Linked DNA regions of Stegostoma tigrinum. Each later gene encodes a partner of the first gene's protein in a complex. Links are inferred from orthologs where the notes say so. Each region holds a gene or a part of one and is shown on either strand. Other genes may lie near its edges.

The links.
Region 2: bcas2 (region 1) and cdc40 share a complex: the UniProt entries of both Homo sapiens proteins name them as parts of the postcatalytic spliceosome P complex. The link is inferred for Stegostoma tigrinum from reciprocal best matches to the Homo sapiens genes BCAS2 and CDC40.
Region 3: bcas2 (region 1) and ctnnbl1 share a complex: the UniProt entries of both Homo sapiens proteins name them as parts of the PRP19-CDC5L splicing complex. The link is inferred for Stegostoma tigrinum from reciprocal best matches to the Homo sapiens genes BCAS2 and CTNNBL1.

What each region holds. Positions count from the first base shown.
Region 1 is NC_081374.1:41,696,166-41,703,799, forward strand, and holds the start of bcas2 (pre-mRNA-splicing factor SPF27), read right to left. Parts: upstream 3,026-7,634; 5' UTR 2,982-3,025; coding exon 2,889-2,981; intron 1-2,888. UniProt on the Homo sapiens protein: Required for pre-mRNA splicing as component of the activated spliceosome. Component of the PRP19-CDC5L complex that forms an integral part of the spliceosome and is required for activating pre-mRNA splicing.
Region 2 is NC_081357.1:25,293,331-25,301,417, forward strand, and holds the start of cdc40 (pre-mRNA-processing factor 17), read right to left. Parts: upstream 3,002-8,087; 5' UTR 2,762-3,001; coding exon 2,576-2,761; intron 1-2,575. UniProt on the Homo sapiens protein: Required for pre-mRNA splicing as component of the activated spliceosome. Plays an important role in embryonic brain development; this function does not require proline isomerization.
Region 3 is NC_081372.1:47,970,391-47,978,099, forward strand, and holds the start of ctnnbl1 (beta-catenin-like protein 1), read right to left. Parts: upstream 3,013-7,709; 5' UTR 2,940-3,012; coding exon 2,910-2,939; intron 1-2,909. UniProt on the Homo sapiens protein: Component of the PRP19-CDC5L complex that forms an integral part of the spliceosome and is required for activating pre-mRNA splicing.

The DNA.
Region 1 (7,634 bases):
CCTGTTTGGATATGTTATTACACACCTCTACAGCAGGAGGGACTTAAACCTGGGCCTCATGGTCTAATGGTCTGGACACTGCCACTGCACTAGAACAGGGCACGCTGAAACTAGAGACCATTTTGTGTCATTGCTTATCCATGACTTGGTTACAAAAATGAGGCAAAGAATTAAATAAGGAACTATTAGAAACTGCAATAAAAGCAATATAAAAATTGGTGGGATATATACCGAACTAATATCAAGTTGTCAAAAGCAGTTGAGGAAGATGAATTTCTAGAATGTTTTCATGTTGGCTTCCTGAAACAAAACCTATGGTGTTATTCCACAACGTAAAAGTTACTTTATATCTAATATTCTGCAACAGAATGTCTGCCGGCACCCCCAAGATGTGCATGGGCAATAACACTGCCAGTACTGCTAATATCATTACGCACGTTTGCTTTTATTCATTGTGCTTATTTGGGCACCACGTGTTTTACCAAGAAAGCATTTCATTAAGTATGTGCAGAACTTTCCACACATGGAATGTGAACCTTTCAGGGGTATCATGAGAGTCTTCGTTCAGTGGGGTAAGGTTAATTAATAATCTCAAAGTAAAAGATCAGGTGGGAAACAGTAATCATAACACAACTGAATCACATACTTGGCTTGAAAGCAACATACTTAGATTGCAATTAAGAATTAAATTTAAAAAATAAAGCCAATTACAAAAGGAGTTTCAAAGCCATGAGATCATATTGCAGCTATACAAGAGTCTGGTGCGGCTGCACTTGGAGTATTGCGTACAGTTCTGGTCGCCCCATTGTACGAAGGATGTGGAAGCATTGGAAAGGGCGCAGAGGAGATTTACCAAGATGTTGCCTGGCATGAAGGGAAGGTCTAATGTAGAAAGGCTGAGGGACTCGAGGCTGTTTTCGTTAGAGAGAAGTTTAACAGGCAACTTTAATAGAGACATGCAAGATGATGAGAGGATCTGACAGGGCGGACAGTGACAGCCTTTTTCCTGGGATGGTGATAGCTGGCACGAGGGGACAAACGTTTAAATTGAAGGGTGATAGACATGGGACAGATGTCAGAGGTAGGTTCTCTGCTCAGAGTAGTAAGTGTGTGGAATGCCCTGCCTGTAACAGGAGTAGACTCGCAACTTTAAGGGCATTTAAATGGTCATTGGATAAACATATGGATGATAATGGAATAGTGTAAGTGGAATGGGCTTCAGATTGGTTTCACAGGGTGGCACAACATTGAGGGCTAAAGGGCCTGTACCGCACTGTAATGTTCTATGTTCTATTAGGAACAAGTTGGCAAAGATCGATTAGGTGAAAAGACTGATATGCACAGTAGTAAACAAATAGTTGGAATCAATTAAAGAAACAACTCAACACAGCCAACGAAAATAAAAAGCATCTTGCAAATAACAGTAATTCTGACAACTACCAGCACTTAAGAAATCAGGAAAAGGTGACCAAAAATTGAGAGAGAAAATGGAGGAGAGATGGGGAGCGAAGGGAGTAGGGGGATGGGGGCGGGGGGGGATGGGGGGAGGGGGGGGATGGGGGCGGGGGGGGGGGGATGGGGGCGGGAGAGATGGGGGCGGGGGGGGAGAGATGGGGGCGGGGGGGGGAGAGATGGGGGCGGGGGGGGGAGAGATGGGGGCGGGGGGGGGAGAGATGGGGGCGGGGGGGGGAGAGATGGGGGCGGGGGGGGGAGAGATGGGGGCGGGGGGGGAGAGATGGGGGCGGGGGGGGAGAGATGGGGGCGGGGGGGGGAGAGATGGGGGCGGGGGGGGGAGAGATGGGGGCGGGGGGGGGAGAGATGGGGGCGGGGGGGGGAGAGATGGGGGCGGGGGGGGGAGAGATGGGGGCGGGGGGGGAGAGATGGGGGCGGGGGGGGAGAGATGGGGGCGGGGGGGGAGAGATGGGGGCGGGGGGGGGAGAGATGGGGGCGGGGGGGGGAGAGATGGGGGCGGGGGGGGGAGAGATGGGGGCGGGGGGGGGAGAGATGGGGGCGGGGGGGGGAGAGATGGGGGCGGGGGGGGGAGAGATGGGGGCGGGGGGGGGAGAGATGGGGGCGGGGGGGGGAGAGATGGGGGCGGGGGGGGAGAGATGGGGGCGGGGGGGGAGAGATGGGGGCGGGGGGGGAGAGATGGGGGCGGGGGGGGAGAGATGGGGGCGGGGGGGGAGAGATGGGGGCGGGGGGGGGGAGAGATGGGGGCGGGGGGGGGGAGAGATGGGGGCGGGGGGGGGAGATGGGGGCGGGGGGGGGGGAGATGGGGGCGGGGGGGGGGAGATGGGGGCGGGGGGGGGGAGATGGGGGCGGGGGGGGGGAGATGGGGGCGGGGGGGGGGAGATGGGGGCGGGGGGGGGGAGATGGGGGCGGGGGGGGGGAGATGGGGGCGGGGGGGGGGAGATGGGGGCGGGGGGGGGGAGATGGGGGCGGGGGGGGGGAGATGGGGGCGGGGGGGGGGAGATGGGGGCAGGGGGGGGGAGATGGGGGCAGGGGGGGGGAGATGGGGGCAGGGGGGGGGAGATGGGGACAAGGTTGGGGTGGCAGAGGGGTGCAAGGTGGAGGCAGGGGTGTAGGTGGGGGCAAGGTGGGGGTGGGGAATGGGGGCAAGGTGGGGGTGGGGAATGGGGGCAAGGTGGGGGTGGGGAATGGGGGCAAGGTGGGGGTGGGGAATGGGGGCAAGGTGGGGGTGGGGGTGAAGGAAGAACAAGGGAGGGGGATGTGGGTAGGGAGACAATGGGGATGCCGTGTTCAATAGCAGCTGTTGGTGGAGGCTACAGCCCCGAGGCCCACGAAAGGACATTTCATTGCCGCTGTCGATCAGAATGATCACAGTCCCCCGGCTGACCAGACGTATTCGCCCCGACCCAGGCACTCACCGCCTCTCGGACCCCCGGCGCATCGTAACCCTGATCAAAATACGGCAACGCGTCCACCACCACATCGCCGGCCACCGCCAGCGGCCCCGCCATCTTGAGCGCCCTCAGCTCACCGCGCCTGCGCGCCTGGTAACCCCCATCCAGAAGCGCGTCCAGAATCCCACCGCTGAAGGTCTGCCTGCGCCTGCGCGCTGAATGCTGCCGTCCCTTCGGAGCATGCGCGCTTTGTATCAACTTGCAGCTATATCCCTCACTGGGTGAAGTGTTGGCAGGGTGCAATTGGGGTGTCCTCCTTAGATCACTCTTCGTTGGCCACCCTGACCAGCAGCTCCCTCAATATGAACCTGAAAACAATAATCACTGTACCAAAGTAATAAAATGTGAGGCTGGATGAACACAGCAGGCCCAGCAGCATCTCAGGAGCACAAAAGCTGACGTTTCGGGCCTAGACCCTTCATCAGAGGGTCTAGGCCCGAAACGTCAGCTTTTGTGCTCCTGAGATGCTGCTGGGCCTGCTGTGTTCATCCAGTCTCACATTTTATTATCTTGGATTCTCCAGCATCTGCAGTTCCCATTATCACCAATCACTGTACCAAAGTTTTCCGAAGAAGTGTCCCAGCCCGAAAAGTTAGCTTTCCTGTTCCTCTGATGCTGCTTGGCCTGCTGTGTTGATCAGCTCTACACCTTATTACTACAAAAGTTAATGCTGTTTATCTATAACATGCATTGCAGAAATTCACCAAGGCTCCTTGGACAGCACCTACCAAACCCGCCACCACTTCAGAATTAAATGCACACCTCAAGCACGGCACAACAAAATTTCCTATTTAACCATGTATTCCCACATAGAACATGGAACGTAGAACAATATCGCGTAAAACAGGCCCTTCGGCCCTCGATGTTGCGCCGACCTGTGAACTAATCTAAGCCCCTCCCACTACACAATCCCATCATTATCCATAATTTTACATCATTTGTGTATGTGATTGACCACGCATGAGCAGTGGCATTTGTCAGCAATAACTGAAGACCCTCTAGCCAGTTTATGCATGCATAGGTGGCCAAAGTGATAATTTTATCTGTTTTTGACCCAATTACTCTGTTTTTAAAGTTGCTGCTTGGCATAATGTCAATATCAAGTGTTGTAAAGCATAGGTTGACCCCCCCCCCTCCCCCCACCATGAGAACAAAAACCAAAACACCTAAAGAGGACCACCTCAGCCTATAATCTGTTAAGGGTGTAACCTGTCTTTCAGAAGTTTATAATGGTTAACTCAAGTATCCCTGACATTCATTTTACAATCAACAATTCATTTATCTAACTAATACTGAATAAATTAACTAAAGTATTAACAAACTGAACAAATCCCTTCTGACAGCTAACTATTCCTAAATAAAGCAAGATTTTAATGGTATGCTGTTCCAATAAATATAAGACCCATTTATATGACAAATCAATTGAATTTAGTCTCACAAAATTACAACCAGTTTATGCCTTCCAGAATGTTCTGTGTGTTCTCCATTGATTCTTCTGTCAGGAACCTTAGCTAGGAGTGCCATGGTACCGTTGTGAATAGATGGTGTTTCTCTAAGAGCTGAGAGCTGTTATCTCTAGCAGATAGCGGTTAGCTCTGCCAATTTTCCAACTGCTACCTTCTTGTATACACCTATGACTTATCAATTTCTTACAACTGGAATGGTCCTAGATTGTCAAGGCCGTCAGATTCAAATTTAATAGGTTTTTGATATCTAAGTACCAAGTTCAAATTGATTGGCTAAATTCAAAAATCTGCTTCCTTGGTAAAAATGCTGCTTGGCCTGCTGACGGTACAGCTTTGTGACGCAAATGTTTCAATTCAGGCGTTCTCTGTTCTTGCAAGGTTTCAAGCTGCTCACAGACATCTCTAAGCATAGAAAAAGCACAACCTATTAAAAGACCACCCAATGCTTTGTCCCCTAGCATTTTACAAACATTAAATTCTGCAAACACTAAATTCTAATGTGTTGCCTCCCAATTCATAGCTACTCTACCCAACCACACCACATGAGCCAAAACAAGGCTTGTAACCTTAATTTGAAATTAGAGCTGGGCCTTTCATGGAGTATAACAGTGGTGTTTCTCCAAAATGTAGTTGAAGCTGGGAGTCAATTGGAAGTGTCAAAATTGAAGCTGATCAAACTTTGCTCGGTAAGGTATCAATGGGTATGGAACAATGAAATTGAGATACTGACCTGGTTTGATAAGCAGAAATTGGAATAGGCCTGTGGTAATTGGAATGAGATTATTCAGCTGGATCTCAGAATATGAGCTCCCTGGTTGAGGCTGTTAATCTGGTCCAATAAGGGAGCCCTGGCAGACAGATAAAGAAGGGTGAGTGTCAGAGATACTGACAGTCTGGTGCCTGAATCTGTATGAGGCGGGACCATAGCCAAAGACTGTAAATAAAGGTCACTTGGTGATGGATAACAGCCTCAAGGCCTACTTAATGATCTGCTCCTAAATATATGCGTTTAATAGCAAGAAGCGCCATTGTGAAAGTTGCAAATATAAATGCTGCTCTTGAAGGTTATAGCTTCTGGTCATAACAAGGTCAGGCAGTTAGCTGGCCAATACTCAGGTGTTTCTGTTCGTGTGAGGGCAATTCTGTTCACAACCAAACTTACTTATTTACTGTGATGGACTGGGCTTCCTTAGGAATCACACTGAAGAATGGTAAATAATGAAATCAATATATTTTTCAGATTTTGAATTATGAGTACATTTAATATGTACAACACATTGCAATTGGCACAACTGATGCTAAACATTCTTATATGACAAGTAACAAAACAGAACATGCTCCCTCAAGTTCCCTGACTCATAATTGTTAAACTCCCAAAGTTACCTAAGATTTGGTTGGGAGAGGTAGAGTAACATAGCAATGGATTGAGTATTCTGCAGTCAAGTTGTGTCTTTTCTGGTCATAGTACTCCTGTTCTTTAGGTTATGTAACTTCCTTTGCTCCTTATTGTTGAGAAAGAAAGAGAGAGAGAGAAACCGCTCTGATTTATCAATCTTGCAGACCTCTGTGCCTCATGTTCCTTCCTTCCTTTCTGTATTGATTGTCATGACGGCAGCCAGATGGGCCTTATAAAATATGAGTTCCCTGATTGGGGCTGTTCATCTGGCCGAATGGCGAAGGTCCTGCCTGACAGACAAAAGCAGGAGTGCCAGACATCCTGTTCAATCTGAGAGTTGGCTCTGAGGCAGTTGGATCAGTGTCAAAGACTCTCCATGTGTAAATAAGCGGTGACTTGCTGATGGGATATCAGTCTATGTGAAGTTAATTCACTGGTAATGAGATTAAAGCACACTCCTGAAGAAATTCACTCCCAACAGTCATTTCTGAGTGAGAGTAAGCATTTGCAGCATCATGCTGCTATTGGCAAAGCTTGACTTATTCAATCCTGCTATTGAAGACTGGGCCCAGTATGTGGAAAGAATGCATTTTTTTTTTCTGGCCAAGTGACATTGTGGCAGGCGAAAAGCAATTAGTAATTCTCCTTACAGCTTGTGGACACACAGCTTTTTTGGTGATCCTGGCACACAAGCCATTGTATTTGCAGCCAGTGTGCGGACTTCCGCATCCATCGCATTATCCTTCGCCATTTCTGACACCAACAATCTGACCCCCCTCACCAAAGTGATACTTCCCTCCCCACCCCTATCTGCCTTTTTTAGGGACTGCTCACTCCACGACTGCTTCGTCCACTCCATACTCCCCACTAACATCACCACACATGGCACCGTTCCCAGCAACAGCAGGAGCTGCTACACCTGCCCTTACACGTTCCGTCTCACGTCTGTCCAAGGTCCCAAACAATCTTGTCAATTTTGACTGGGATTCACCTGTGCATCCTCCAACCTGGTCTACTGTATCCGTTGTTCCTGATATAGCCTCCTCTACATCAATGAGACCAACGCAGACTCGGTGACTGATTCAAGGAGCATCTGTGCTCTGTATGCTCTAAGCAACAGCACCTCCCAGTTTCCAACCATTTTAACTCCCTCTCCCACTCTCTGGGTGACATGTCCATCCTGGGCCTCCTTCAGTGTCACAAAGGTGCCACATGCAAGCTGAAGGAACAGCACCTCACATTCTGCCTCAGGAGGCTACAATCTGATGGCCTCTACATAGAAATCACCAGTTTCAAAATCTCCTCACCCCCGGCCTCACCCCATGTCCAACCCTCCATCTCATCCCTGCCTCCCTGACCAGACACAACTTGTCCATCTTCTTTCCATCTGTCCGCCCCACTCTTCCCACTGACCAATCTCCACAATTCCCTACCTGCATCCACCTCCCACCATCCCACCTACGTTCCACCGGCCCCACCTCCCTATTTATTTCCGAGCTCCTTTCCCCATTCCTGGTGAAGGGTGTAAACCCAAAACATCGACTTCCTTGTTCCACTGATGCTGTCTGACCTGCTGTACTCCTCAAGCTCCATGCTGTGTTGATGTGGTCCTGGTTCCTATATAAATTTAGGACTACTCCTCATGCAACTATCAGGATTGTTCCAGTAGAATGGGGAGAAGACTCTGCACCAGGTTAAATCTGATCTTGGGAAGGATGAGAAGGATGAAACGGCATCAGAAATCTCAATGTTGGGCACAAGACTCCTGTAAGCAAGAGAGACAGTTTACATCAGGGATCAAAGTTTGGTGTAGCAACCATGGGAATGGCCCTGCATGGGTAAGACACA
Region 2 (8,087 bases), on another chromosome or scaffold:
AGCCATGACAATTTTGTTTTCAAAACAGTTGAGAGTCTTTAGACTGAACTAGTTCTTATGTAGCTCTGGAGGGTTCACTGAGCAAGGTAAATAATTGTTCCTCAAAGTTCCTACTAGAAAATCATGTTTTTTTTAAGCTTGAAGAGATTGAAACGTTAGAGAGATTTTTTTCAGTTTTACTGTCAGTTTTGGGCAGATCTACATGTGCAAAGTTTTCATGTGCAAAGTTGTTCCAGAAAGGAAAAAGATGGTGGATTTGTTAAAACTATAATGTGGAGGTGCCTGTGTTGGACAAAGTCAGAAGTCACACAACACCATTGTTATTGTCCTGATGAATGGGCTGTGCTTTGAAAGCTTGTGATTTCAAACAAACCTATTGGACTATAACTTAGTACCATGTGACTTCTGACTATGACAGAACTAGACCACCTTGGAGCGATGAGTTAAAGTTCCAGAACGGAAACGTTTGGATAAAATCCTGAACAGGTTACTTGAAATTGAGATAATTAAGCTCAGGCATATGATAGCTCTGGGAAGAAACTACTGTGTTTCCCTGTCAAGAGCTGAAGTCAAATTAGACACATCCAGGTGCAAGAAACTTTCCGGTATGACAGCTGTATAAGGGGGTGCTTCTGCGTACTGTACTGAAGTATTTTAGGATCTGTACAGGAGTCTTTTTAAAAGTTTAATGGAATTATATTTCACTGTATGTTTTAACATCTTTACAGTTTGTGTTACAAGTAAATTGTGTGGTTTACTCTATTTTATTTCCATACATTTTACTTCAAATTTCTGCTTTATGGTTAAAAACAATTTTTAAAAAGATTCATTCATCAAAAGTGGGCATGGTTGGCTGGGCCAGGATTTACTGGCTATTTCTAACAGCACTTATTAAGGTAGCGGTGAGCTGTCCTCTTGAACTGCTTCAGTCCATTTGCTGTTAGCAACGCCATTAGGGAGCAGTTCCAAAATTTTGACCATGCAACACTGGAAGAAAAATAATATATTCCCAAGTCAAGATGATGAATGGCTTGGAGGGGAACTTGCAGGTAGTAGTGGCTGTACGTAACTACAGCCCATGTTGATCTAGATGGTAGTTGGCATGAGTTTGAAAGGTGCTGTCAAGGAGCCTAAGTGAATTTCTGTAGTGCAGCTTTCAGATGGTGTACACTGCTGCTGCTGCAAATCTGTAACACTGTATGCATCCAGGGGTGCATGTTCATTGTTCTTTGAAAATGGAGTCACAGGGAGACAGGGTAATGATGAAGGTGGTTGGTATGCTAGACTTTATTGATCAGTTGGGATGTCATGTTGTGGCTGTACAGGATATTGCTTAGTCCACATTTGGAATACTGCCTTCAAATCTGGTCTTCCTGCTAAACAAAAAATGTTGTGAAAATTGAAAAGGTTCGGAAAAGATTTCCAAGGATGTTCCCAGTGTGAGAGGGTTTGAGCTATGGCCAGAGGCTGAATAGACTAGGTTTATTGTCCCTGGAGCATTAGAGGTTGAGAGGTGACCTTATAGAGGTTTGTAAAATCATGGGGGGGCATGGATAGGGTGAATAGCCAAGGTCTTTTCCCAGGTTAGGGAAGTACAAAGCTCATGGGCATAGATTTAACCTAAGGGGCAACTTTTTCATGCAGAGGGTGGTGCACATATGGAATGAACTGCCAGAGAAAGTGTTGGAGACTCGTACAATTATAACATTTAGAAGGTATCTGCATGGGTATAGGAATGGGGAGGATTTAGACAGTCTGGTCTTAGTCTGGTCAGCATAGACAAATTGGACAAAAGGGCTTGTTTCCATGCTGAATATTTCTATGACTCTAATCCAAACACCAAAACACATTAAGTCAGCTAAATCTGTTTCCAAAATCCATGCGGCAGTTCCTACTGAAACATCAAAACAAACGTGTGTGTAGTGGACAACGTTGCAAAGAGCTCTAAGCAAATCACCTGTGTCTTAAAAACTACCTAATAACAACCAAAAGAGCTGCGGATGCTGTAAATCAGCAACAAAAACAGAAGTTACTGGAAAAGCCGGTCTGGCAGCTTCTGCAAAGAAAAAAATCAGAGTTAACATTTCTGGTCCGTTCACCCTTCCTCAGAACTATTCTGTTAACTTTGATCTTTTCTTCACAGATGTTGCCAGACCTGCTGAGCTTTTCCAGCAACTTCTGTATTTTGTTCTTAAAAGTACCTATCTTTCAAGGGTTAATCAAAATGTAATAATAACAAATGGGGCTTATCAATTTACTGAAGTATACTAAGCCTGTACACGCAAGGAAATTACTTATAAAGGTTTTTCTCCTCATAAATGAAACAAGTTAGCAACAAATCTGTAGTCTAGTTAAAATGGTCTGTTATCAGATGTCAGTTTCCAATAGCTATTCAACGGAACATCACCAACATTATTAAGGAATTTTTGAGTGGTATTTTTCTGTCGTAGACGCATCAATTCTGTCCTTTCCCCAGGTTCGGGTCGGAGGCAGACAAACCCCGTTTTTTGTGAGATTGTCAACAGACTAAACCCATGTGCCCCATCAGGCCCGACTCGGGCCTTCCTACACTCACCTTTACAGCAACATCAGGAGCGGAGTTCAAAGCGAGGGATCCGTGAAGGCGTGACATGGATTTCTTAGGCTCCAGAGGGTGCAGATGAGCCACGGCGTCTCGGCTGGGGAGCTCTCCACATTCACCATCCGAGTCGCTGCCACTGCCGCTGCCGTAAGAGGCCAGAGCCGCAATCGCCGCCGACATTTTCGCGGGCGCCTCTCTCAGAAGATGACGCGCGCTTGCAGATCTAAAACTTAACCAGTCCTCCCCAAGTAAACACCACAGCGTTCACTGACAGGAGTTTCCTTGGCACCGTCTTCACTATTTTAAATGTTGAGAAATTTCTATCGGCGTCAGTCTCACAATATCATCCTCCCGGACTTCAGCGAAACTCCAAGGACTATTATTTACCCCACGGCGGTAAGGCCCAAATTCCCACCTCCGACAATCTGATTGGCTAGCCTGGGAAGGAGTGGGTGAGCCCATCTCGGCAACAACCCTTTGTCCATTGGTTCTGTGCCTTGTCGATCAAAAGACATCACAAAGCTCCCTTCGACCCTTCCTCCTCCGTTCCACAACGCATTCCAATTCGATGGTCTTCCCCCATACCCCTTCCAAACGGCCAGTGCCATTGGGACAATACACGGGAGGATCGCTCAGTGCGTTCAGCCGGATAGCGGTGGACGAAATCCGTTCCGGCAGGCACAGCTGCGTCCGGCGCTTTCTAAGCTCGGCCGTTCTCTGCGATTTGGAAGCCGAAACGCCTCTATTTTCGGATTGAAGAAGCGAACGGGTCCTGCTGCCGCGGGTGCGATGTTCCCCGTGCGTGTCGCCGACGTGCGCCATTCCGGCTGAAGCGGCGGCGGTGTTGTTATCGAGACCGGCGAAAACTTGGGGCGTCAGTAAAAGCGGACCGGTTAGAGCGAAGCTCCCAGACGGCCGCTCGCGGACAATGAAGACGTTATTCTCCAACTGAAAGACGTTCCAATTCATTGTTTTTTTTAAAAAAAAATCTATAGGTCTAGGTATCTCGGAAGATTATATTTTAAAAAAATACTCGAGGCCGGTAAGAGTTTACAGGGTACGTAATTCTAATCTCAGTGAATGAAATGTCGAGCTCTTGGAATTTTATTTATTGTTGCAGTGTTTTTATTTGCTGTGCAAAACAATTGCCTCACAGCAAAGGTGTGTGTTCGGAGAGGGGCTTGCGTTTAGCCATGGTAATTTTTTTTTGCAGTCTACAATCTTACCTTTTTATTTTTCTTCTCCCTCGCCAATTTCTTTCTGTGGTTGCCGAGGCCCCGGCAGGTAGTGATGGTTGGACTGATGGATGGGGCTTGCTCGGGTGCACCTGGGCTTCAGCCCTGAGTCTCTCATTCTCTCCTGCACCACAGTCGGAGCTGCACTGGCCGCAAAAAATCCCGTGTTATCGAGAGTCTGACCTTTCTGCAACTCGCTATAACTCACTGCTCTCTCTCCTGTTCCATTTCAACCACTTAGTTGAGATCGTGAATTTGGATGCGCACTCAATCCCTTCGCAAGAACATGCAGTATAAAGGTGTCGATTGTTTGCAGAAATTTTATTTCAATATTGAGGTTTTCGTGAAGCTGGATGGATGCCCTCGATTTCCACAAAGAATTTGGGAAGGGGGTGTAGCGGGTGGAAGAGAAGATCGGCAAATATTCTGTGACCCTAAGATATTAGATCTCAGCGCGGCAGGGTATTTTATTTTGTGCAATTTATAAACAGAGGCTTACTGTTGAAGTTTTGTCCACTCACGGACAGTAAGTTCATGTTTGTAGGTGCGGTGCCGTCGCATCACGACTGTAACGGTCGCTAATTTTGCAGCGTAGGGAACACATTTGACTAGGATGAATGATAAACGTGCTGATTATTTAGCAATTTTATTGCGAATGACCATGAGCAACTTTTCAGGACTGTCTGCTTTCCTGGCCCCTTGACCTAATGCAGAAAATTATTTGCCTTTACGTTTTGAAAGGCTGTTTATTTTTGCTTTAAACTCTGCCGCCCGCAGTACTCGATTCCCACGCCAGAGGTTGATCGCAGACCTGAGCTCCTGTATTTCACCTCTTCGAAAGACCTTCCCATACGCACCCACCCCCTAACCGCAGTGTTTCAATATTTTGAGCGGAGTAAAGAGAGATCCACGATGAGCGGTTGGAGCGACACTATCTCAATTTGCGCAAAACTTTAAAAGCACAACTTAGTACTTTGGATCCTTTCCTTTCATTAGCACTTCTTATATGCGGTCCGAATAATTGCTCTTCACAGCCGAAGTGGAATTGCAAACGACTTTCAGATAACTCGCTGGGGAAATAATTGCAATACCCTGGAAAAAATGTTCTAGTATAAATCGCTATGCATTTCTGAGACGGGTAACTTTTTTCCAAGCTTAGGGTTTCAAAAGTTGGAGCAGTGACAGATTTGAGCTCGATCCTGTTTCTTAACTTTAAGAACAAATCAATCGGGATGATTTCTGCTGCTGTGCTTTTTTAAAATTTGTATTGTTTTGTAAACTTCAAATCTTCCTGAAGTTAAAACGTAGCGCTTTTCTGCTTATAGAAAAATTTCAGGATCCACTCACTATGACCATACCTTTAACAAAGGAAATGTAGCCAAGAGCTTACACGTTATCAGACAGAAATGGAAATTCAATAGTAATAGGACAAGGAATTTCAAGTAGCTTTTAAGGAGCATCTTGGAGCAGGATAGAAAGCAAGATAGAACACAGTGTGTTTTAAATATGGAATTACAGAGCAAAGACCTGCGACTTTGGTCAATACAGCTACCAGCAATAGGGCAAAACAAAAGGAAAGTGCTCATGAGACTAGAATTGGAAGAACAGAGAGTTCTTGGAGAGCTGTAAGCTTGAAGAACCAAGAAGGTACTTGATGCAAATTCGAAATTAGAGGCATTGTTGAGTTGTGGAGCTTCCAGGGAATGCATGAATGATGCTTGATGCAAGTTGGGAGTTGGCAGTGGTTTCATATGAGCTTAAGGATGGTAAATGAAAAGCCAACCAGGACAGCATGTCTTGTGTAGCAAACTTAGACAGCGTTACCTAAAATTGCACCATTCAACAGCCCATTTTACAGCAATTTACTCATTGATGTCATTGCATGAGGAGTTGGGACCTGAAGAAAATGTGGACCCCTCACCATATGTTCCTCTTCAATGTAAAATGTATAGGTTTCAAATAAGCTAACTAATTACACACAAAAGAACATGGGCTTGTGAGTGTTTTCAACTCTTTGTATGACTGGTGCTGAAACTGTAAACATGGAAGGGCAGAGACAACACAATTTAGATTTAAGGGAGGAGCAGTCTAAAATGAATAATAAAATACCAAAGAAATAACCTTTCAGCAGCATCTAAATTCTCTGCCTAATTTTAGATCCATTTTAACTCGCCATTCTTTCAAGAAACTTATGTATATAGCTTGCATGGTCACGTGCTGAGGTGAAAAGCACGATCAGCAGGACTGAAAGGCTAACGTAACTGTGCATCTTACACTTTTGTTTGGTCTCCTAAAGCAAGTTTTGTTTTGTACCTTGAATAGTTGTATCTTGGGTGCAAATGTAAGGAAATTTCACTATCTTTTATTTTAATTATTCTTGTCTTTATTTCAAGATAGATGCATTTTGTTATTGTGAACTAGCTATTTGAAGATTGAAACTGCTGTGTTAAATTGTTTGGTCGTCTTTTCATCGCAGATGTATGTTAGTTATTGCACTTAGCTACTTGATAATTATGGCTGGCCAGTGTTCACATAAATCTTATAAAATGTTCTAAATTTATGGCAAATAAATTATTTTTGTGCTTGAGTAGGCTGAGAATATAAATGTATGAAAGAAATATTGGCTTTAATGAAATGGAAGTTTTCAAAATACTGAATATGAATGACTTTTAGAAATGTAACTTTTTAAAGAAACATCATGGAGAAGTGTGTGTGTTTAGGAGCATTGTATCGGTCATGTATACTGAAAATGTGTATGGCAAAAAATCTATGAAAACCAGATTTTGCTGTACTAGTCTCATTACACCAAAAAATACTGCCAAGTAATCTTACTTGCAAAGAAAGTTTCTTCAATATTATGCATATAATTATCTTAATATTTAACATGAAAAGATACAATTCAGGAGAATGTTTTGGGAAATTGGATAAGGAGCCAATTTACTTTTTATGATTTTCTGAGGTTGGCTGTTTGTTGACAAATTATATAATTAGGTTTTTATAGATTTGTGCAGATCATTATGAAAGGGCAATGCTTATCCATTAAAAGTACATTTGCAACACAAATACAGTATTGTGAATAAATTATTTCATCTGGCATCTTAAGTGCACGGAGATTTACGTGAAATGCCAAATGTGAAATTATGCCATTTTTGTTATTTTTAATGTGTTGGATGCTTTACTGAAATAAAAGATTGGCTATCGCCTTATCTCATAGTTGGTATGTTGCCAATTAATAATTCATGTTTAAAAACCATGAACAGTATTATTAAGCTTCAGGAGGATTGTAGAAGAGCTATACTGTGCTTTAAGTGAAGTAATGCCATGAGCAATAACAGCTTTGTTTGTCATAAAAGTTAGGCCATTGGCATGATAAATTACACAACTTCCCAACCAATTCTTAATATCATGACTTCTAATTAAAGTTAGATTCTTTCGTTCACTAGCTTTTTTTCCTCAACAAAGTTGCAGTTCCAAGTAGGTTTTGCTATCTATGCGTTCTTGGATTTGGTGGCATGTTACTCCTATAAGAAAATCTTACATTTTCACTTTCCAAAATTGAACAGTGCTAACAAATATTGATTTCAGAGGGCAGTTTAGACTGCTGTGTTGCTGTTGGTCTCAAATCACATGTAGACCTGACCGGGTAAGGAAGAGAGATTTACTTCCCTTAAGGACATTTAGTCAATTGACAATGGTTATAGAATTTCTCTCAATTCCAGAGTTTTTTTAAAAATTGAATTTAAATTTATCTATTTGAAAACTTGCTTAGGGTCTGAATTAACTAGTTAAGTGACATCACAATTATGCCACCATTAGTGATACTTGTCAAAACAAATAAATATTGCTTCATGTTGTTCTGTCAGCTCAGATCACGATCATTCTTCAAACTGCATCCATTTGGCTGGTTTGATTCTGATCATGTGTTCTGCTGTCCTTTTTCAGTTGGGGGTGGTACACTAGCTCTTTCAACAATTATGCCCACTGAGCTCAACTAAATAGAGTTATCTTGAACAGAATAGTGGAAAATGAACAATCAGTGAAATGTCCAAGGTAACCTACATTGTGTGGAGGGCACTGATTCAAACATCCTTTTTGAATTCAAACGTGGAACTCTTCCCCACAATCCTGCTGCTCTATGAATTTGACCTACTGAGATCTGTTTAATCTAGCATAGGTATTTTTAATTTGTTATTCCATGGAACATCTGTGGCACTGTATCAGAAGCTCAGGTTCAACTGTGTTTTTGTTCAGCATCAGTAAAGGTTATTTGA
Region 3 (7,709 bases), on another chromosome or scaffold:
TTTTTGGAACATTATTAGTGTCTTCTACGGTGAAGATTGGTGCAAAGTATTTATTCAACTCCTCTACCATGTCCCAGTTCCACATTAGTATTACTTCCCCAGCCTCTTCCACTTAGGGAGCTGTGCTCACTTTGGCCTTTCTCTTCCTTTTAGTATATTAAAAATAAACTTGATGTCAAGTTTAATACTTCTTGCAAGTTAGCTTTCAGGTTTATTTAATCCCTCATTTTTATGTTGGTCACTTCTTGCAGTTTTCTAAACTTTCCCAAATCTCTGGCCTACCACTAATCTTTGCCATATTATATTTCTGCTTTCAATCTGATGCTATCCTTAAAACCCCTACGCTTGGCTAATTCCCTTCCTGGAACCCTCCTTTATCACTGCAATGTGTTTTTCAACTGATGAACTATATTCTTAAAAGTATACTCAGGTTTTCTCTGCTAAACTTCTTTTCTAGTCCACAACAACTGATTCTGCCCTTATTTCTTTGTAATTACCCTTAGATTTAACATAGCTGTTTCTGACCCAAGTTCTCCCTTTCAAATTAAATTCTAAATTCTACCATGTATGGTTACTGTTTTCTAGGAGATCCTTTACTCTGAGATAATTTAATAAACCTGTCATTATACATCAAATCTAAAACAGCCTGATCCCTAGTTAGACCCGCAACATATTGTTCAGGGAAACTGTCCAAATATGCTCTGAATTCTTCCTCCTGGTTACCTCTGCAAATCTAACATTGCAACCCACATGCAGATTAAATTCACCCAGAGTGGCATGGTGGATCAGTGGTTATCAGTGCTGCCTCACAGCACCAGGAACCCGGATTTGATTTCAGCCTCAGGTGACTGTGCAAACTCCACACATTTTCCACGTGTCTGCGTGGTTTTCCACTGGGTGCTCCAGTTTCCTCCCGCAGTCCAAAGATATGGATGGGTGCTAAATTGTCTATAGTCTTCAAGGACGTGTAGCCTAGGTAGTTTAGCTATGACGAATGCAGGGAAGCGGTCTATGGGACACTATGGAGAGTTAGTGCCGACTTAATGGGCCAAATGGCCTCATTGGGGATTCTATGATTGATATACTACCTTTTTTACATAGTCATTAGCTCCTGATTTATTCTCAGTCCTGTTATATTGCTACTGTTAAGAGGCCAAAATATTACTCCTGTCAATGTCTTCTCCTCCTTGATATTTCTTACCTCCATCCTCATTTGGATTCTACATTTTCTAATCCAAGATCATTTCTTGCTTTTGCATCTATTCCATCCTATACCAACAATGCTACCCCACCACCCTTTCCCTCCTGCCTCTCCTTTTGAAAAGACATTTATCCCATAATACACAGTTCCCTATACTAACTTCTTTGTAACCATATCTCCACAGTGGCTGCAAGGCCATACCCAATAAATTCTATTTGTGCCATTAACTCATTTATTTTGTTCAAAATACTATGTGCATTCAAGCGTGGAACCATCAGTTTTGCTAATCACTTTTGTCCCTTTGACCCTATTTGCTGATGTTTTTCTACGTTTGTACACTTATCCCTCCTGTTGCATGCTGGACATCATTAATGTCTGCCCTGTAATGTGGCTACATCATTTGTTTTACAAGCCTACAGTTCACAATACCAGGCCTCAAATAATGTTTCCTGTTTGGTTACAGAAAGAACCCCAAGAAACTGTTCAAAATACAATGTTCATCCCCAGGCAATTTTTGTCTATTGCTTTCAACTAATATGAAGAGTGAAGTCTCCCCAATTTTGAGTGACTGTTATAAACTCTATTACTTCTTGATTTACAATGCACCCTTCAGTTTAACCCTTATGTACTCCCAATGACTTCTTTCTTTCACCATTTCTTATCTCCATCCAAACTGATTTTACATCTTGATCCTCTGAATCAAGATCAATTCTCACAACTGCACTGATTTCATTATTTATTAAAAGAGTTATCCAATTCCTCACCCTCCTTCCTGACTTTCCAAAGTGTTGAACATCCTCAAATATTTAGGTTCCAGCCAGTCATTTTGCAACCACATTTCTACAATGGCAATCAAATTATACTCAGTCATTTGTATTTGTATTATTAATTTGTCCATTCAGTGCACATTTAGAGAAATAATTTTCAATCTGCCTTTTCACCATTTATATCCACAACTATATTTGCATGTGAATTCACATTAGCCAAAAAAAATCATCTTGCCAGTATACTCCTATATTTGTGTTCTATTCCACTTGACACACTCTAGTCATCATTATCAAAGCTGCAATCCTGCATCACTGTTTCACCCTTTTTTTAACCTTCTAAGTTTACCCTCACGTGAACCTTTCTCGCACTTCACTGTCACACACTAAGATTATATTTCAGTACTACAGCAATTCTGTTTTCCATCTTATGACGGGCAAGATGTTATGTGCCATATGTGTTTTGTATTTAATATTTCTACATTATAGTACTGAAAATTAACATCATGGAATAACTTCTCATCACTATGCCAGGCACAGTGGCCTGTTGTTTGACAAATATGTCACCTCTCTGTATCAGGAATTTTAAAGCGATTCAATTAGAAGGTGAAACTCCTAAGCTGGGGCTGATGACTGTAATATTGTGGCTATGGAAAGATGGTTTATTGATATTTTTGAATCAACCTGATCAGAGACGTCATTACACACCTGTGGAGCTGATAGAACCTAAAATTGATCAACGATGGAGCCCCACGTGAACTCGAAATCGTGTGGCAGGAAAAAGAGGGCTCCCTGTCAGTTACTGGCGATGCAGCCACAACTCGAGTGCCAGGCTCTGCGGCCTCGCTTGTCTCGGAACCGGCCGGAGTGGGGATATGGAGCGGCTTAGACTGACTGAGCGTAGACAGGGGGCCCGAAAGAAGGAGGAGAAGCTGCTGCCTCACCTGATAGTTCAGCAATTCGCCCACATCCATATCAGCACTGTCGCAAGAAGCTAAAATGTCCCCCCACCGCTCAGGTCCCTGCCACACTGCCGTATGTCCCAAACGGTCGTAAATGACCGCCAATTGTCGTAAAGGCTCCAAGTTCAGCCAGGAATGATCTTAGAAAGTCTCAGGTTAAAACCATCGTACGGTTTTTAACACTTTCTTTGCTAATGAAACTTCACTGATGTGTCTTTCCGAAGGGAAATTTAGCATTGATTTTAGTGAGCTCTTCAAACAAATAAAAATCTGAAATAGATTTAAAAGCAGAACTTTTCTTGTACTGAGATAGTAGGAACTGCAGATGCTGGAGAATCTGAGATAACAAGGTGTAGAGCTGGATGAACACAGCAAGCCAAGCAGCATCAGAGGAGCAGGAAAGCTGACGTTTCAGGTGGGAACCCTTCTTCAGAAAGGTTTAGACCCGAAACATCAGCTTTCCTGCTCCTCTGATGCTGCTTGGCCTGCTGTGTTCATCCAGCTCTATACCTTGTTATCTCAGATTCTCCAGCAGCGGCAGTTCCTACTATCTCTATAACATATATGTGTTTAGTTTTCCCAAGCAGAGAAAACTAGTTCATAAACAGTGAACACTTATTAAAAATTGAAAGAAATATAAGAACTGTTTCAACTGAAGGTTGTGTTTTGGGTCCTTAATCTTGAGGAACTATAGAGCCTGCTTTGCCATGTGGCATGATGGACCAGTAGACCTAGGAGACAACGGTTCTGTCAGAATCCTGAATGGGGAAAGGTGAGGAATAAGGTTTGCTGTAACAGTATGGGTGGCATAAATGATTAAGAATGATCATTGAAAGTGAACACTAGTGGGTTGGAGGTGAAGACAAGGTGGACTATATTGTAGTTCATTATAAGAGATAGTAAGAACTGCAGATGCCGGAGTCAGCGATAACACAGTGTGGAGCTGGAGGAACACAGCAGGCCAGGCATCATCTGAGGAGCAGGAAAGTTGATTGGGACCCTTCCTCATTTCGCCTTTTACCAAAGTTGTAACCTATGTTATTAACAGTCTTCATCTGTCAAGACTCTGTTTATTGATCAGTTTAAGGTTTGCATCTGTTAGTGTGTGTATTTCTTAGCTGGTTCCTGGGTACTTAAATGTTACAATTAAGTTTTAAAATATCTAAATTTTCTAATTGTCTTTCTATAATTGGAAAGCAACAGAGTGATGCAGACAAACCTCACTGAACAAAAGCAGTCAGCCAGGAATGAGGGACAGCATTGAGTGGAAAGTGGAGGACAGCATAAGAGAGAAATCTGGGATGGGAACACCATGAGTGGAAATACATGGGATGTATGGAAAGGGGTTTAGGGATGGCATAGGAAGTAGGACTGGGATCAGGTATGTAATGGGGATGATATTAGAAGAATAATAGGAATAATCAGAAAGAACTCCAAAGGTGTCAGATGATGCATTTTGGGAGATCAAATGCAAGATAAAATTATACAGTTAATGCCAGGGCCTTTAGGAACACTGATATATGGAGGGATCTTGGGTTGCAAGTCTATAGCTGCCGAAAGTGGCAACACAAATGTAAGGATTGGAGATTCCTTCCCTAAAGGGTGTTAGTGAACCAGATAGGTTTTTCCCAACAATTGATAATGGATTCATAGTGATCATTAGACTTAATTCCAGATTTTTATTGAATTCAAATTCCATCATCTGCCGTGGCAGGATTCAAACCGAGGTCCCCAGAACATTAGCTGGATCTCTGGATTAACAATGCAGCAATAATACTACTAGGCCATCACATGCCCTAATTGATCTCTATAGTTTTATTTTCATTCATTTACAGGATGAGGGCATCACTGGGTTTTTTCCCCCAAGAATTGACAATGGATTCATGTTCATCTCAGGATTCTTAGTTTAGATTTTGTTTTAATTGAATTCAAATTGCACCATTTGCTGTGGCAGGATTTGAACACAGGTCCTCAGAACAGTATCTCAGTATTGCTGGATTGTTAATCCAGAGACAGTACCACGAGGCCATTTCCTCCCCAATAGTTGTCAATTCAATTTTTTTCTTTCATGAATATCAAATCTTGCCTTATTTGCATAATATTAGTCACTTCAGCCTGTGGCAGTGACTTCCACATTTTCACCTCTCTTGGTCATGTGTACTAAATTTCTGATCGTTTTGAACTGAAACCATGCTAATCTAATGATGCTTGATCTGTTTTCTCCATCCGTTGTAAATGTGGCAGTATAAATATTTTAGTCATTAACGTCACAGGTATATCCTGCTGGGCACATATGTGAATTACATGCTTACTTGGAAACTGCATCCTCTTATGACTTTCTGACCTCTTAATATAAAACAATTGTCTTCATAGAGCAGAACCAAAATCTGGCTCCATATAAAAATTCCTATTCCTCAATGGTAGTAGACATTTTTTACATTTGATGATATCATTCGTAATTCCCTGTCACATGGCAGAGATAGGCTTCCTTTCATGAGATAGAATTGTGGTTCAGGGCATCAGCATTGTCGTCACCTTGATCAGATCTGTACTTTATCTATTGATGAAAGGGGAAATGCAATTGTGCTTGATGGGTTTTCTGTTCCTGCTGCCCATAGGGGCAATATCACTGAAATTGACCAATTACTGTTGCAATTTCAGCACCATTTTGATACATCTCTTGGATATGATCAGCTTTGGGAGGAAGGACAGCAAAAATGTGGATCTGTTTCACTTGTTTCTTCAACATGACACTTGCATATTCAATAACACCAACTCATCTGTACGCTAGTAGCTTCCCTCCTGTTCTAAGTAATCCTGTCTTTTCCCATTATCTTGATAATGTGATTACGTGCCCCAAAGAAGGACAGCTAGGGCTTGTTACAGATAAGCGTTCTCAGCTCCATCTGGACATTTCACCCCTGATTGCATCAGTTAAGCGAATTTTCAACTGAGTGTCCCTGTTGGTTTGAAGGAAGGAGGACAATTCTGTCAAGCAAACTTACAGGTTCCAGGGATACCGAGACCATAACCTCTCCTTCAGACTGCCTTTATCTGTAAAATATAAGTTGTGGATGCAATTGTGAACTCTTTTTGACATTAATACTGAATCATAGAATTGTTATGGTACAGAAGGAGGCCCTTTGGTCCATCATGTCTACACTAACTTTTCAAATGAGCATCATTACCTCAAGCCAATCTTCTGCCTTTTACTCATATCACTGCACACCATTTCTATACAAACAATCATCCAACACTCTCTTGAATGTCTCAACTAAATTTGCCTTCACCACACTTCCAGGTACTGCCTTCCATATCCTAATTACTTGCTGAGTGAAACAGTATTTTTCTCACATCACCCTTGCTTTTTTTTGTACATCGCTTTAAAACTATTCCCTCTTGTTCTTGAGATAGTAGGAACTGCAGGTGCTGTAGAATCTGAGATAACAAGGTGCAGATCTGGATATACACAGCAGGCCAAGCAGCATCAGAGGATCAGGAAAGCTGATGTTTTGGGCCTCGACCCTTCTTCAGAAGCGACAGCTTTCCTGCCCCTCTGATGCTGCTTGGCTTGCTGTGTTCATCCAGCTCTACATCTTGTTGTCCCTCTTGTTTGTGTTCCTTTTATGAACAGAAATGGCTTCTCTCTATCTACTCTCTCTAATTTGGTCATATTTTTTGAAAACCTTGATTAAATTTCCTCTCAGCCTTCTTCTCTCCAAAGAGCATAGTCTCAACTTCTTCAGCCTATCTTCATAACTGAAAATTCCTCATTCCTGGAGTCATTCTTGTGAATTGTTTCTGAATATTTTCCAATGTATTCTCATGTTTCCTGCAATGTAATGCCCACACTGTTAAACGAGTGTCTTGTACAAGTTCAACATCAACTCCTTTTACTGTGTGCTATTTTTAATAAAGGCTAGGGCACTGTATGCTTTATTACTGCTCTCTCCACTTGTCCTTCAATGATTCTTATACATATACACAGAGGTCCCTCTGCTCCTGCACCCTCTTTAGAATCGTACCCCCAATTTTACATTATCTTTCAATGATATTCCTACCAAAATATACTTCTCTGTATTGAACCTCATCTACCACCAATTAACCCACTCCATCAAACTGGTTAATGTCCTTTTGGAGCTCCAGACTATCCTCCTCACGGTTTACAATTTTTCTGAGTTTTGTGTCACCTGCAAACTTTGAAATTGTCCCCTGCACACCAAGATCCAGATCATTAATATGTTAGGGTGACATGGTGGCACAGTGGTTAGCAGTGCTTCCTCACAGTGCCAGGGACCTAAGTTCAATTCCAGCCTTGGATGACAGCCTGTGTAGGTTTCTGCCAGTGCTCTGGTTTCCTACCACAGTATGTAAAATTGGCCTGTAGCATGCAGGCTAGATGCATTAGCCATGAGGTGTCATCAGTTGCAGTGGCGGTGATGGGTCTGGGCAGGATGCTGTTTGGAGGGTAGATGCAGACTTAATGGGCCAATAGTCCTCTAGCTGCATTGTAGGGATTCTATAATGTCAGGAAAAATGAGGGCCCCAATACTGACCTCTGAGGAGCTTCACCATAAATATTCTTCCTGCCCAAAATATACCCATTTACCATTCTCCATTTCTTAATGCTCTGCCAATTTTGTATGCACATTGTTACTGTTCCTTTTATACCATGACTTTTCCTCAGAAGTTTGTCATGCGATACTGGATAAAATAACTTCTGCAAATCCATGTATATTACATCAACAACATGACCCTCATTAACCCTTAGTTAGTTGAACA